Linked DNA regions of Yarrowia lipolytica. The protein of the gene in region 1 purifies or fractionates together with the protein of each later gene. This does not show direct contact. Links are inferred from orthologs where the notes say so. Each region holds a gene or a part of one and is shown in the gene's direction. Other genes may lie near its edges. The genes, in order: YALI1_E22576g, YALI1_B15109g and YALI1_F06991g.

The links.
Region 2: the proteins of YALI1_E22576g (region 1) and YALI1_B15109g purify together in Saccharomyces cerevisiae (affinity purification with mass spectrometry, with the first as the bait; 3 studies listed by BioGRID). This does not show direct contact. The link is inferred for Yarrowia lipolytica from reciprocal best matches to the Saccharomyces cerevisiae genes POL12 and PRI1.
Region 3: the proteins of YALI1_E22576g (region 1) and YALI1_F06991g purify together in Saccharomyces cerevisiae (affinity purification with mass spectrometry; 3 studies listed by BioGRID). This does not show direct contact. The link is inferred for Yarrowia lipolytica from reciprocal best matches to the Saccharomyces cerevisiae genes POL12 and PRI2.

Annotation. Positions count from the first base shown.
Region 1 is NC_090774.1:2,255,263-2,259,270, reverse strand, and holds YALI1_E22576g (uncharacterized protein), read left to right. Parts: upstream 1-1,651; coding exon 1,652-3,478; downstream 3,479-4,008. Other genes in the region: YALI1_E22592g (uncharacterized protein), read left to right, coding at 16-1,236; YALI1_E22555g (uncharacterized protein), read left to right, coding at 3,779-4,008. UniProt on the Saccharomyces cerevisiae protein: Non-catalytic component of DNA polymerase alpha, which in a complex with DNA primase (DNA polymerase alpha:primase) constitutes a replicative polymerase.
Region 2 is NC_090771.1:1,509,052-1,512,977, forward strand, and holds YALI1_B15109g (uncharacterized protein), read left to right. Parts: upstream 1-1,922; coding exon 1,923-3,362; downstream 3,363-3,926. Other genes in the region: YALI1_B15092g (uncharacterized protein), read right to left, coding at 1-151; YALI1_B15151g (uncharacterized protein), read right to left, coding at 3,645-3,926. UniProt on the Saccharomyces cerevisiae protein: DNA primase is the polymerase that synthesizes small RNA primers for the Okazaki fragments made during discontinuous DNA replication. In a complex with DNA polymerase alpha (DNA polymerase alpha:primase) constitutes a replicative polymerase.
Region 3 is NC_090775.1:697,245-701,155, forward strand, and holds YALI1_F06991g (uncharacterized protein), read left to right. Parts: upstream 1-1,885; coding exon 1,886-3,295; downstream 3,296-3,911. UniProt on the Saccharomyces cerevisiae protein: DNA primase is the polymerase that synthesizes small RNA primers for the Okazaki fragments made during discontinuous DNA replication. In a complex with DNA polymerase alpha (DNA polymerase alpha:primase) constitutes a replicative polymerase.

The DNA of each region.
Region 1 (4,008 bases):
CACAACACACACAAAATGGCTGAACAGATCGAGAAAAAGGTTGTGGATCTGCTGGTCGACAACGCCGAGAACGACGCTGCTGACGCCGTTGTCCAGGCCGCCGCCGGTCTGGCTGAGAAGGCCGCCGAGGGCATTGTCAATGCTGTCAAGGGCCCCATTGAGGAGGCCATCGAGGCTCCTGTTGCTGGTGAGGAGAAGGAGTCCAAGGAGGAGTCCAAGGAGGAGTCCAAGGAGGAGTCCAAGGAGGAGTCCAAGGGGGAGTCCAAGGAGGATTTCAAGGAGGAGTCCAAGGAGGCTGCTCCTGCCACCGAGGAGAAGCCTGCTGCCGAGTCCAAGGCTGAGACCAAGGAGGAGCCCAAGACTGAGGAGCCTGCTGCCCCCGCCAAGCCCAAGGAGCCCGTCACCGACGCCGAAGCTCCCATTCTCAAGCAGGTGGAGTTCTACTTCTCCGACCAGAACCTGCCCACCGACAAGTTCCTGTGGAAGGCCGTCCACAGCAACGACGGCTGGGTGCCCATTCACACCATTGCTTCCTTCAAGCGAATGCAGCAGTTTGCCAACCCCGAGGCTGAGGATCCTCTGGCCGTGATTGTCTCTGCTCTGCGAAAGTCGCCCTCTCTTCTGGAGGTGTCTGAGGATGGCACCAAGGTCAAGCGAGTCAAGGCTCTGCAGGCTCCCGATGACAAGTCCAAGGACGAGGCCAACGCCCGAACCGTCTACGCCAAGGGCTTCCTGCCCGAGGACAAGGTCCCCACCAAGGATACCCCTGCCTCCGAGCTTGGCGCCCCCCTGACCCGAGAGGAGGAGCTTGCTCTGCAGATTGAGATTGAGAAGTTCTTCGAGGGCTACGGCAAGATTGTGCAAGTGCGACTCCGACGACGAACCGAGCAGCAGAACCGGTTCAAGGGCTCCGTGTTCGCCGAGTTCGAGAAGCTCGAGGACGCCACCAAGTTCCTGGCCCTTGATCCCAAGCCCACCTTCCAGGGCCGAGAGCTCAAGACCATGTCCAAGCCCGCCTACTGCGAGATGAAGAAGGCCGAGCTGGGCTTCACCGACGGTGCCAACGGCAAGCGGGGTCCCCGAAAGTTCAACGGCTTCAAGGACAATGAGTCCCGAAAGCGAGGCAACGACGACGACGACAACGGAGACAACAAGCGACAGCGAGGTAACCCTCGACGTGGTCGTGGTGGACGAGGTCGAGGCCGAGGCGGCCGAGGCCGAGGAGGACGAGATTAGTGTATTATAGACGATTCTGAATAGAGCAATGATTAACTATGATGTGATGATGTCGGTTTTTGTACACGACGAGTGATTGCGCCCGTGCCATACAACATGTATTCTTACTATATATACTGGTTGCGTGCGAGAAGGTAGAACAGGACGACCATAGTTCTGTCAGATTTCATCAGAAGGGTTCATAATTTGAAACTGAAGGTGACATATTGGAAACTGATGGATTTTGACAAAATCAGCCAAATCGGCCCCTTATCTGTCCATTTCTGGTCGCTGAAAACTCGTACAATACGAGTGCAACCTACTCATACTAAGTTGCAGAACTGTAATATTTCTCCCTGCCGTAAACTCAAAAAACGCGTCGCGAGTTAATTAATCACCAGCGCCAAACCACTTTGATCAGTCTACGATACACAACATGACGCTGTCGGAAAAGTTTGGGGCCGTCTACGACGACAATGAGGAGCTCAAAAAGGAGTGCGCCAACATCATGTCCATCTTCAATCTCTCCGAGGAAGATCTGTTCATCAAATGGGAGTGTTTTGCCATCAACACCAACGGCGACGAAAAGACAGACTTGGACCTGGGCAACCTGTCCAAGCTCAAAACGTATCTGCTGAAGGAGATTGAGAAGGCCAAGAAGGCTAAGACGACAACCCCGCGTCCGAAAATGCGACGAAACCGAGAAGGAGCAGGAGATATGGATCTGTTCGACCAACTGACCCATAGTGCTCTTGGAAGTGCTAAACGAGGACCTGCTGGAGGTGACAACGACCAGACCCCCGTCAAGAAACGTCCCCAGCCCAATGGTACAGGAAATGGACTGTCCATGTCTCCACCTCTGTCTGTGACTCCCATCAGATCAACTCCCCCTCCTCCATCTAACTCCGCCTACTCTTCTCGAAAGGGAGCAGGCACGGTTATGGAGACCCTCAACAGCTCTATCGAGCTAAACCCAGGCCGAGCCGACCCAGAAACCAAGATCGCCATATCAGATCACGTACAATCCGCCAAATACAAGTACAAAACCATGTACCAGAAGGTGTCTGAGGCGTCTGAGACCTTGGACGAACAGATTGAACAATACATGGATTGGTGTGTTCAAAAGGGACTGGTTAAATCGAACGCCGAATTTAAGAACCCTTCTCTCAGTGACCAGAACTCTATTGTTTGTGCCGGTCGAATTGTCCTTGACACTCCTGAAACTGTGAGACTTACAGATGCCTCTGTGTTGCTGGAGACTCCCCGAAGCCGTGGAGGAGCGCTACGAGTGAAGCTCAATCTCTCCTTGCTTCCCTCCGTGTCTCTTATTCCGGGCCAGCTACTTGCGCTCAAGGGTGTCAACTCCAGTGGACGAGAATTTGTGGTGGAAGAGATTCTCAAGCTGGACCCTCCTCCTTTCAGACAGGTGGATAATGTGGCAGAAACCCCTTCTCTGACCCAAATCATCGCCGCAGGCCCTTACACCACAACCAAGGATCTCGACTTCCTGCCTCTCAAGGATCTTCTCGCACAACCAGCAGATACTTTCATTCTCCTGGGTCCATTCATTGACTCAGTGCACCCGCTAGTCGCCCAAGGAAGCTTTTCGGTGCCTGGCAAAATGGTGGCCACCGTGGAAGACCTGTTCAGACACAAAATCGCGCCTCTTCTCAACGCATGCCCCGCACAGATCATTCTCATCCCTTCCACTAGAGACTCAGTGTCGGCCCACCTTGCATTTCCCCAACCGGCTCTGGCTCGAAAGGCGCTCAATTTGGGCAAGAACGTCATCTGCCGAACCAACCCGGCCCAGTTTTCCATCAACGAGCTCATGTTTGGTACTGCCAACCTCGACATTGTGCGAGCTGTCGCCCAGAGTGAACTCAACAAGGGCTCGCAGGAAGATTTCATGTCTCGCGCAGGACGATATGTGGTGGAACAGCGGTCCCTGTACCCTCTATTGCCTGGTCCTCAGGCCAAACAACCCGGCGTGGCTGAGGAGAATCAGACGCTGACGTACCACCATCTGGACAAGGCGTACTTGGGCCTGTGTGACTTTGTGGACGTGTCTCCAGACATTATCATCATGCCCTCGCAGGTGCAAGCGTTTGTTCGGGTGGTGAATTCGATTGTGATTATCAACCCGGGCTATCTCACGCGAATGGACAGTGGAGGATCGTATGCTTTGTTGACATCGGCCCCTTACCAGGGAGGAGACGCCAAAGCATGGGAAAGAGTACGAGTTGACATTAAGAAGATCTAATCGGTCTTAAGGAAGACTGAAGCGGCGATCTGGTCCATTGTATGCCATTGCCAGTATCTGTGAACAGGAGCAAGACATTATATAACGGTTGGAACAGTCGAAATAGCACCTAAAATACAAGTTAATACTAAGAGTGAAGCACTTGTAGCAACGGAGCTTTCCCTACATGTTGGCTTCCTCTGAATCGCACTTCATATTATCCAGTCTCGTGATGTGATATATTATATGAAGATCGATACAGTACATAATCCGGCCATCTTGCTGATATTCTCCTCCAGATGACATCTCATGACACTCAACATGTGCAAACGAGACCACGAAGAGCGCCTCAAGGACCGCGTTGAACGACTAGAGGAGGAGGTGTCTAATACGCAGGACCGGGTTGAAGGTAGCAATGAGCAGCTGAGGCGCGCCTTGCTCACCAAGAAGTTAACCCAGAGCGAGGTGAACGCTCTTCGGCAGTCTCTAGACGAGAACGAGATCAACTTGATCGAGTATCACGAGGAGTTGGTTTCTTGTCGAGAAGAACA
Region 2 (3,926 bases), on another chromosome or scaffold:
CTGCCTCTCCGGTGTAGGCCATCAGAGTGTTGGGGTTGAGTTCTCTGGTCTTGTCGTCACCGACCTTGATGACGGAAATACCTCGGGTGGCAGCCTTGGAAGTGGCAACCAGCACTCCGCCCTTGATTCGCAGTCCCAGAACGATATCCATCTTGTGATTGTGTAGTGTGGTGTTGGATGGGTCTCAGAGAGTCAGTAGTGATGCAGATACACAAGGTGGCAAGGTTAGGTGGCGTCACGTGCAGGTGGCGGTTATGAAGTGCTATTGGTACCAGTACTTAGTCCAATGGGATGGAATGACCGGGTCTGATCAATGATTAATGATAAGGGCAAAAGATTGATTGACGATAGTTGTTTGAGATGGAGACACTTGCTTGGAGTCGTGTGTCTTTGTTGTCGTTGGGTGTGCTGATTAGTAAGCTGATTTGAGTGGTACCAGGCTGATTGTAGGGGTTATGCTGAAGCGATTGCAATAACACATTTGAGGTGAAACTAGTCCACCTATTAGTTCATATCAATGATTTCTTGTCTGTCTATAATGACATCCAATGACAAGTTTAGCTAGCTGCTGTAATTAATTGAGGTGTTCTACTTTTCGGAGAACAAAATGTCTCCATTGTTCCCAATTACATTCATAACAAATTGGATAACTAAAGAATGGAGTTAGTTGAACATTATTTGGGGTTGAACAGTTGGTCAAATAGTGGAAAAGGAAATAAAAGGGCAGGTTTTCAATGCTTACAGGTATTTTGGTTTCATTTTCTGTCTTAATCATGTACGGTATGGCTATGTTCAAAGCCACAGGGCACTTTTGTTGCAAATCTCGATTCAAACAATATTTCGCGCAACTGACGTCAAAGGGGATATATAAACGAGAAACAAAAACGAGAAGCTACACGGGGAGTAAAGGGACGCGAAGATGGGGATTGAAAATTTCAGTGATCACTCGTCATATCTCTGTCGATGCCATCACTCACGTTATGCCGATGATACCGTATGTACAGTGGGTACTGTAGCTGGCGTCATGCGTCATGGATAGCTACCTCATTATTCCCTCCGTCATGTCCGAACAGTCGCTGTAAGAGACATTTGTGTGGCAGAGATCGATGTGATACCTTCAACACGAGCTCGAGGAGCTTGTAGGTTGTATAACGAGCTCCAGTGTCGAAGTTGCAATGTGAACAGGGCAAGGAGTTACATAGACCACTGTACAGAACCACACGATGCTATTAAAGAAAGTAGCATCTTTGGCAAGCTCACTCATAGAATTATACAACTATCTGTAACCATCTATTGTTTTTATTCATGCTTACACTATCAGAGGGAGAATAGTGCAACACTTGACACTGACAAACCATACAGACTCATGCAGAGTGAACATCTGCAAGGCTCTCTGAGAATATAGGATTGGATGAACCTCACAGATATAGACACAGTAGGGAAGAGAACAGTCAAGCATCTTACCGTACAAATAGGACTGGCAATTAACCAAACCTGCATCCCTCTCATTTAGTCTCAGTGGAACATTCACAGTATTGTTTTCATGCGATCACTCTCAGCCAGCATCCACTCGTCGCAGTCCCCTATGCCTAATAGAAGGAAATATCCTTGGAAAAGTCCATCTTTTACAGACAACGGTAGCTTTATAATAAATATAACCGTTTTAGTAAGTAGTATATGTATATATCAGCAATATCTTTTTGATCCTCAATGTACAGTATGATGGATATCTCCCCATGTCTTATTTGTCATTTATAATACCCCCCAACTCTAATCACGTCTTTCGCAACGCGTGGAGTTAAATTGATTCCCAACTTGGAGAGACGCGTTTAGCATCGTACTGCACCTTCATTTTTTTTGTCCTCTACAGTTGACATCTCAAATCGGCACACCTACCCCACGCAACATATACTACAGCTCAAATGACAGTATCCGAGCCCTCTTCGCCCGTATCGACCGCGGAGCCCCCAACTGACATCACTGTGCCACCTTCATCTTCTCCACGACTTCCACAGCAGGGGCTGTATGATGCTATCATGAACGATGTCATGGAACAAATTGAGGAGCCTCTTCCTGAGATTCCAGAGACGCGACAACCCGAGACTTCGGTTAGCGCCCCCGAGGTTGATTTTGAGGGCCTCGGACTCTTTTACTCGCGTTTCTTTCCCTTCAAGACGCTTCATCGATGGCTCAACCACTCTCCCCGAAATGGACGAGACTTTGCTTATCGAGAGTTTGCCTTCACTCTGAGAAACGGTGCGTATCTGCGATTCAACTCATTCGCGGAGGAGCGTGAATTCAAGTCTCGAGTCGACGATCTTGTTCCTGAGCGATTCGAGATCGGAGCGGTCTACTCACATTCGCCCAAGGACCGAAAGAAGTTGCGAAAGGACGTGTTTAAGCCTGTCTCTAAGGAGCTCGTCTTCGATATTGATATGGACGATTACGACAAATTCCGAACGTGTTGTTCTGGAGCATCCGTCTGCAACAAGTGCTGGAGATACGTGCAGGTAGCCGTTAAGATGGTCAACTCTGCTCTCAAGGAGGATTTCGGATACAAACACATTATGTGGGTATTTTCGGGCCGACGAGGAGCCCATGCGTGGGTCAGCGACAAGAAGGCTCGTGATCTTAACGACAGACAGCGTTCTACAGTTGTTTCCTACATTGCTGCATTTGGAGACGCTACAGACAAGAGTGCTGCCGGCAACTCGAGTCTTCGACGTCCCCTGCATCCCCATCTTCAGCGGTGTCTTGATATCGCCACCACCGTATTCAACGAGGTTGTCCTGCAGACCCAGGACCCTTGGGCCAATGAGGAGGGCTCCAAATTCCTGCTGGCGTTCATTCCGGACGAAAAGCTGAGAAGAGCCCTGGCTGAGAAATGGAAGAAGAACGGAGACTCTGCTAGCTCGGCAGACAAGTGGAGCGATATCGACAAGGTGGCTTCCTCGGGAGTATCTGCGAACCTGGATACCAAGAGGCTCGTCGAGGCCAAACAAAACGTGATTCTAACTGTTTTCATGCCAAAGCTCGATGGAGCCGTGTCTCGAGGAACAGGCCATCTTCTGAAATCGCCCTTTTGCATCCACCCAAAGACCTCCAACGTCTGTGTGCCCATGGACGTCGACAGCCACACTCATGAGTTGTTGTTCACCCCAGAGGATTGTCCTAAACTGCAGGAGATTATTGACGACTTCAACAATTACGAGGGAGATGCTCAAGGTACTGTTTCCAAGCACGCTTCTGATAAGACTCGACTCAAGCCCTTCGTCGAGGTGTTTGATAACTTTGTGGAACCGCTCTTGAAGGAGGAAATTGAGCGAGTCAAGGCTGCCAACGTGGGTTCGATGGAGTTTTAGACAAGGAAACATGATGAAAATGAACGTTTAATATATTTAATGGTGTTTTTGACCACACGTGTAGAACTTCCAAACATCCAGACAACAGTTTATACTGTAAATGCATATAGTATATTATCGTAGCTTACATATGCGAGTACATCATACTGTAACTGTTTCATTCCATTATACAGTACATCCAACACATGTACTCGTACTTATACAGACCCGTGGTACTGTAGCTACTGCTCCGCTCTTTTAATACACAATAAATATTAGCTAACCGATAGATACCACATCTACTTACATAACCACACAACAAGGCTCAGCCAGATTGGAATAGAAAGTATCAAGAAATCCTCCAAACTCGGGCTGGTGGTCTAGTACAGTGATTTCAATCTTCTGACGGCCTGCTTGGTTGTGGCTCCAAAACAGCTGGTTTCGTGCAGTCTTCCACGATCCAGTTGAAACTGTCACCGACAAAAAGTTGGTGGGGAAGACAAACTGAGGAATGGCAATGATGGTCTCCTGGTTAGAACCAGCAGCCTCAATCTCCAAAATGTAGTGTCTTTTGATGAGCTCATA
Region 3 (3,911 bases), on another chromosome or scaffold:
CTGTTTGGTTTGCCATATATGCAATTTTACATGTCTTTTGGTGTGGCCAAATTATCCCATACAATGTCATCTCCATTGATTTTTTCCAGAAGAGCCCATATGTTGATCTCATCCAGAAAGTCAACTACATTGTCAACAAATGCCACCTTTTTTCCAACTAAATTGTAAACAAAATGCCACATCCCTTCCAACATAAATATGTCTATAATGACGGAATAGGTATACGCAGTTGACAAATTTGTTCATCCCCAGCCACTTTCTACATTGAAAGAAAAAAAGTAGAAATATCGTGTCTACAACATCCCTTCTACCGCGACCCGCGTTTCCCCCTACGACACTTTCTTAACTAATTCTTCAACTATTTCCCCCCACTTATATACTTCGTTTTGAGCAACTATTGTTCGCTGTACGGCGGTTCAGGTTGTTTCCCAGACCCAATTGAGCATTTTCTAGACTCTGTAAATCCCTCCAACTCCACCTGGTAACATTCACGTTCTTGCGCCCCACCATTGCCCACCCTGGCCGTCCTGTCTGATACAACCCCTAGCGTTCATTGTTCATTGTCATTGTCTGCTTTCATTGTCGCTGCTCATCATCAATTGAGACATCCGCTTCTCGTTACACAAATACATTGTCAAACCAATATCTCTGCACCCCGTCGCCCCAGCATTAGTCTGAGAGTATGCATCGAGCCGACGATGCATTCTGTAAGGACTGACGGGTGCATGTTCCGAGGGAAAGTCTGTAGGACTCGGCAAAAAGTTGACATATTTAACCCTGGACTTGAAATCATTACAATCTGATCAGGGAGCTTCAAAATGATACCATTTAGTGCATATCTCAATGCAAAAACAACTACTAGAACCAGAAAAGTTGACTCTGTTTCTAACATGTAGAGTGCCCCACTTGTCTCACAGTAAAAGCCCTCAAAGTGAGAAACGGTAGCAAATTAGCTGTCATTTCAGTACGTACAAACCAGACATTGCCATGCAACACATTTCTACAGCTTTCTTTGTATGTCTTCTACTGACATGTTGCTGCAGGACCTCCTAACCGACATAATTGTTTCCAGTCCAATAACCACTAATCCTGGGAACGCTTGGACTATGCCATTGGAGTCCTCCTACTTCTCTCTTTCGATTAATATACAGCTTTCTCCTATTAATCTCCCATAGTCTTCCACAGTCCTATCATATATGTACAGCACAGTATGTACAAGTAACATATCATATTAGTTTGACAGACAACCACCTAAACATTGGTCAGAAGACATTTTCCACTCGTTAGAAAGTTTTGAAGGAATTAATTGAGCTTTTTCAATCCCACTTTCAAATTCTCGTCTTTTAGGAACCATTTTTCGTTTGTTTTTTTTTTCTTCTTTTTTTTTCAGTCTTTTTTTTTCACTCTCCCTCAAAAGTTACTTGATCCACCAACTAATTCCAACTAAATTAGCATTTCTCAACTAAAAAATATTTTTAAAATCCACAAACCCGACAATCACGTGAGTGGCTCTCGTCACGTGACGTGACTAATTTGATGATACTCTATCCAGCCACTTGATTTGGCTTGACGCGCAATTATTAAAAGAAAGAAAAAAAGTTTTGACGCGACTCTCTCCTTGGTTGAGTTGGAGGTTGCTGTTATATTGCTGAGTAAGCGTCGTAGAGATATCCTGGATATACCATTTTGTAGGGAAACTTTGGAGGAACACTATTATGTTGTGCAAACCTTATTTGAGATGCTTTCCCGCATTTCAAACCCGTATCTCTACCACCCGTGATGAAAGCTTAAAAAACGCGTCTTCCCTTAAAGTACATTTGGTTCCATCACGTCACGTCTCTCACATTTCCTCCTCCTCAACACACAGCACACAAGTCGTCGCATAATGTTCCGAAGCAAACGACGAGCGACCGAACGGAAGAATTGGGGCGTGGCTCCGTCGTCGATGCCTGCAGAAATCATTTACCCCAGCCGAATGTCCTTCTACAACACTCCGCCCAACCTGGGCATTTCGCTGGAGGCGTTCGAAGAATGGGCCATTGACCGGCTCCGGGTGCTGACGAAGCTGCAACAGCTGCAACTGAGCGGAAAGACAGGGCTGAAAGACCTCGATTCGGGCCTGAAGCCGACGCTGGAGAAGTACCTACCCCTGGGCTCAAGCCGAAACGTCTCTGACGAAGTGACACAAAAGCAGCGGCAAAAGGACCACTACTCGCATTTCATTCTGCGGCTGGTATACTGCCGCACTCCAGAGCTGCGCAAGGAGTTTGTGGAGCGCGAAAAGCTGCTGTTTCGGTACAGACTGAGTTTGGAGGAGGGCGGCGAGAGAGACTCGTTTGTCAACTCGCTGGACTTTGAGTGGGAAAAGGTCGACGTGGACGAATTCGAAGATCTGCGGCCGTATCTGGAGACGGTGTCACGTGACAAGGCCGACATTGCGTCGCGTGACTACGTCAAGGTTGACTGGCAGAAGGTGGCCGATCTGGTTGATTCTCGTCGGGTGTTTTTGCGGGCTGGCAAAGTCTATGTTCCTGCTTCGTTGCAGCAGAATCTGGTTGTAAACGAGTTTGAGAGCCGTTTGGCTGTTGCCATGGAGACTGCGGCCATGTTGCTTTCTCGGCTGGATGAGTCGACTCGCCTGATGCCGATTTTGGACCATCTTGCGCAGTTTGGCGTGACCGAGACGTTCCAGAAGAATGAGGCTCTGGATGGCAAAATTGGACCCTCCAACATTGACTCTGTCGTCAAGCACATGCCTCTGTGCATGTCTCAGTTGCACACAACTCTTCGACAGAAGAACCATCTCAAGCACGATGGTCGGTTCCAGTATGGACTGTTTATCAAAGGTCTGGGCTTCTCTGTCGATGAGGCTCTTCAGTTTTGGAGAGAGGCATTCAAGGTGACGGACGACAAGTTCAACAAGGAGTACCAATACAACATTCTGCATAACTACGGTCTCAAGGGTTCGGGCAAGAATTATGCGCCAAAGGACTGCAAGAGTATCATTGCCAACAATCCCCCAGCCAACTCCGAGCTGGTTCACGGCTGTCCTTATCGGTCTTTGCGTCCTGAAGAGTTGGTTGGACGGCTCAAGAATATGGGAATTGAGGACCGCATGGAACTGAACAAGATCACCGACCAGGTGAAGAACACCAACTATCATGGAGCATGTACCCGGGTTCTGGAGCTAACTCATCCGGGTCTCAAGGTGGAGGAGGTGGTCCAGCATCCTAATGACTACTTTCTGAAGGGTTATGGATGGCAGAATGGATTGGAGGTGGCCTACACAAAGTAGGGTGAAACTGGTTGGTCGCAGTACCAGTCAGTGTGTTTGCCCAATACCGGTCTAGACACTCCGGTGACCTACCGTTGATACGACTGTACTTACTGGGTCTACGGAACACTGAGGGCCATTGTGCTCGACTGTTCTGACTCATATATATTTAATTGACTAATTTTACACATGACTTCTCCTTTCAAAATTTGGAGCTATCCTGATGAAGATGCCGCCGATTCCTTATCTACTGTAGCTCTTGGTGTTGCCTGGGTTAGAACCCATACAGAATGCTGGGGAGAGTCGGTATCAACACAGACACTTGGAATTCGACTTTTTCGACCATTAATAGCCCCTGGTTCACCTCTTTCTAGTCGATGTCGCCTCGGCAGGTAGTTCTTTTGTATGACTAATGGCCGTCTCGGTCCACAGCATCCGACGTCTCCAGCTCTCTCAATGTTGGCGTCTGCACGGACTAAGCAGCATTGAAATTATCGAGCAAAATTGATGCTAATAAACGAGCCACAGTACATGTCCGTGAACTATTATAGAGCGACTTTCTCAAAATCCTCAATCTCAAATCCCCAATTACTTGACTTTACTTGGCTTTACTTGACTTTTCACACTTTAGTTTGAT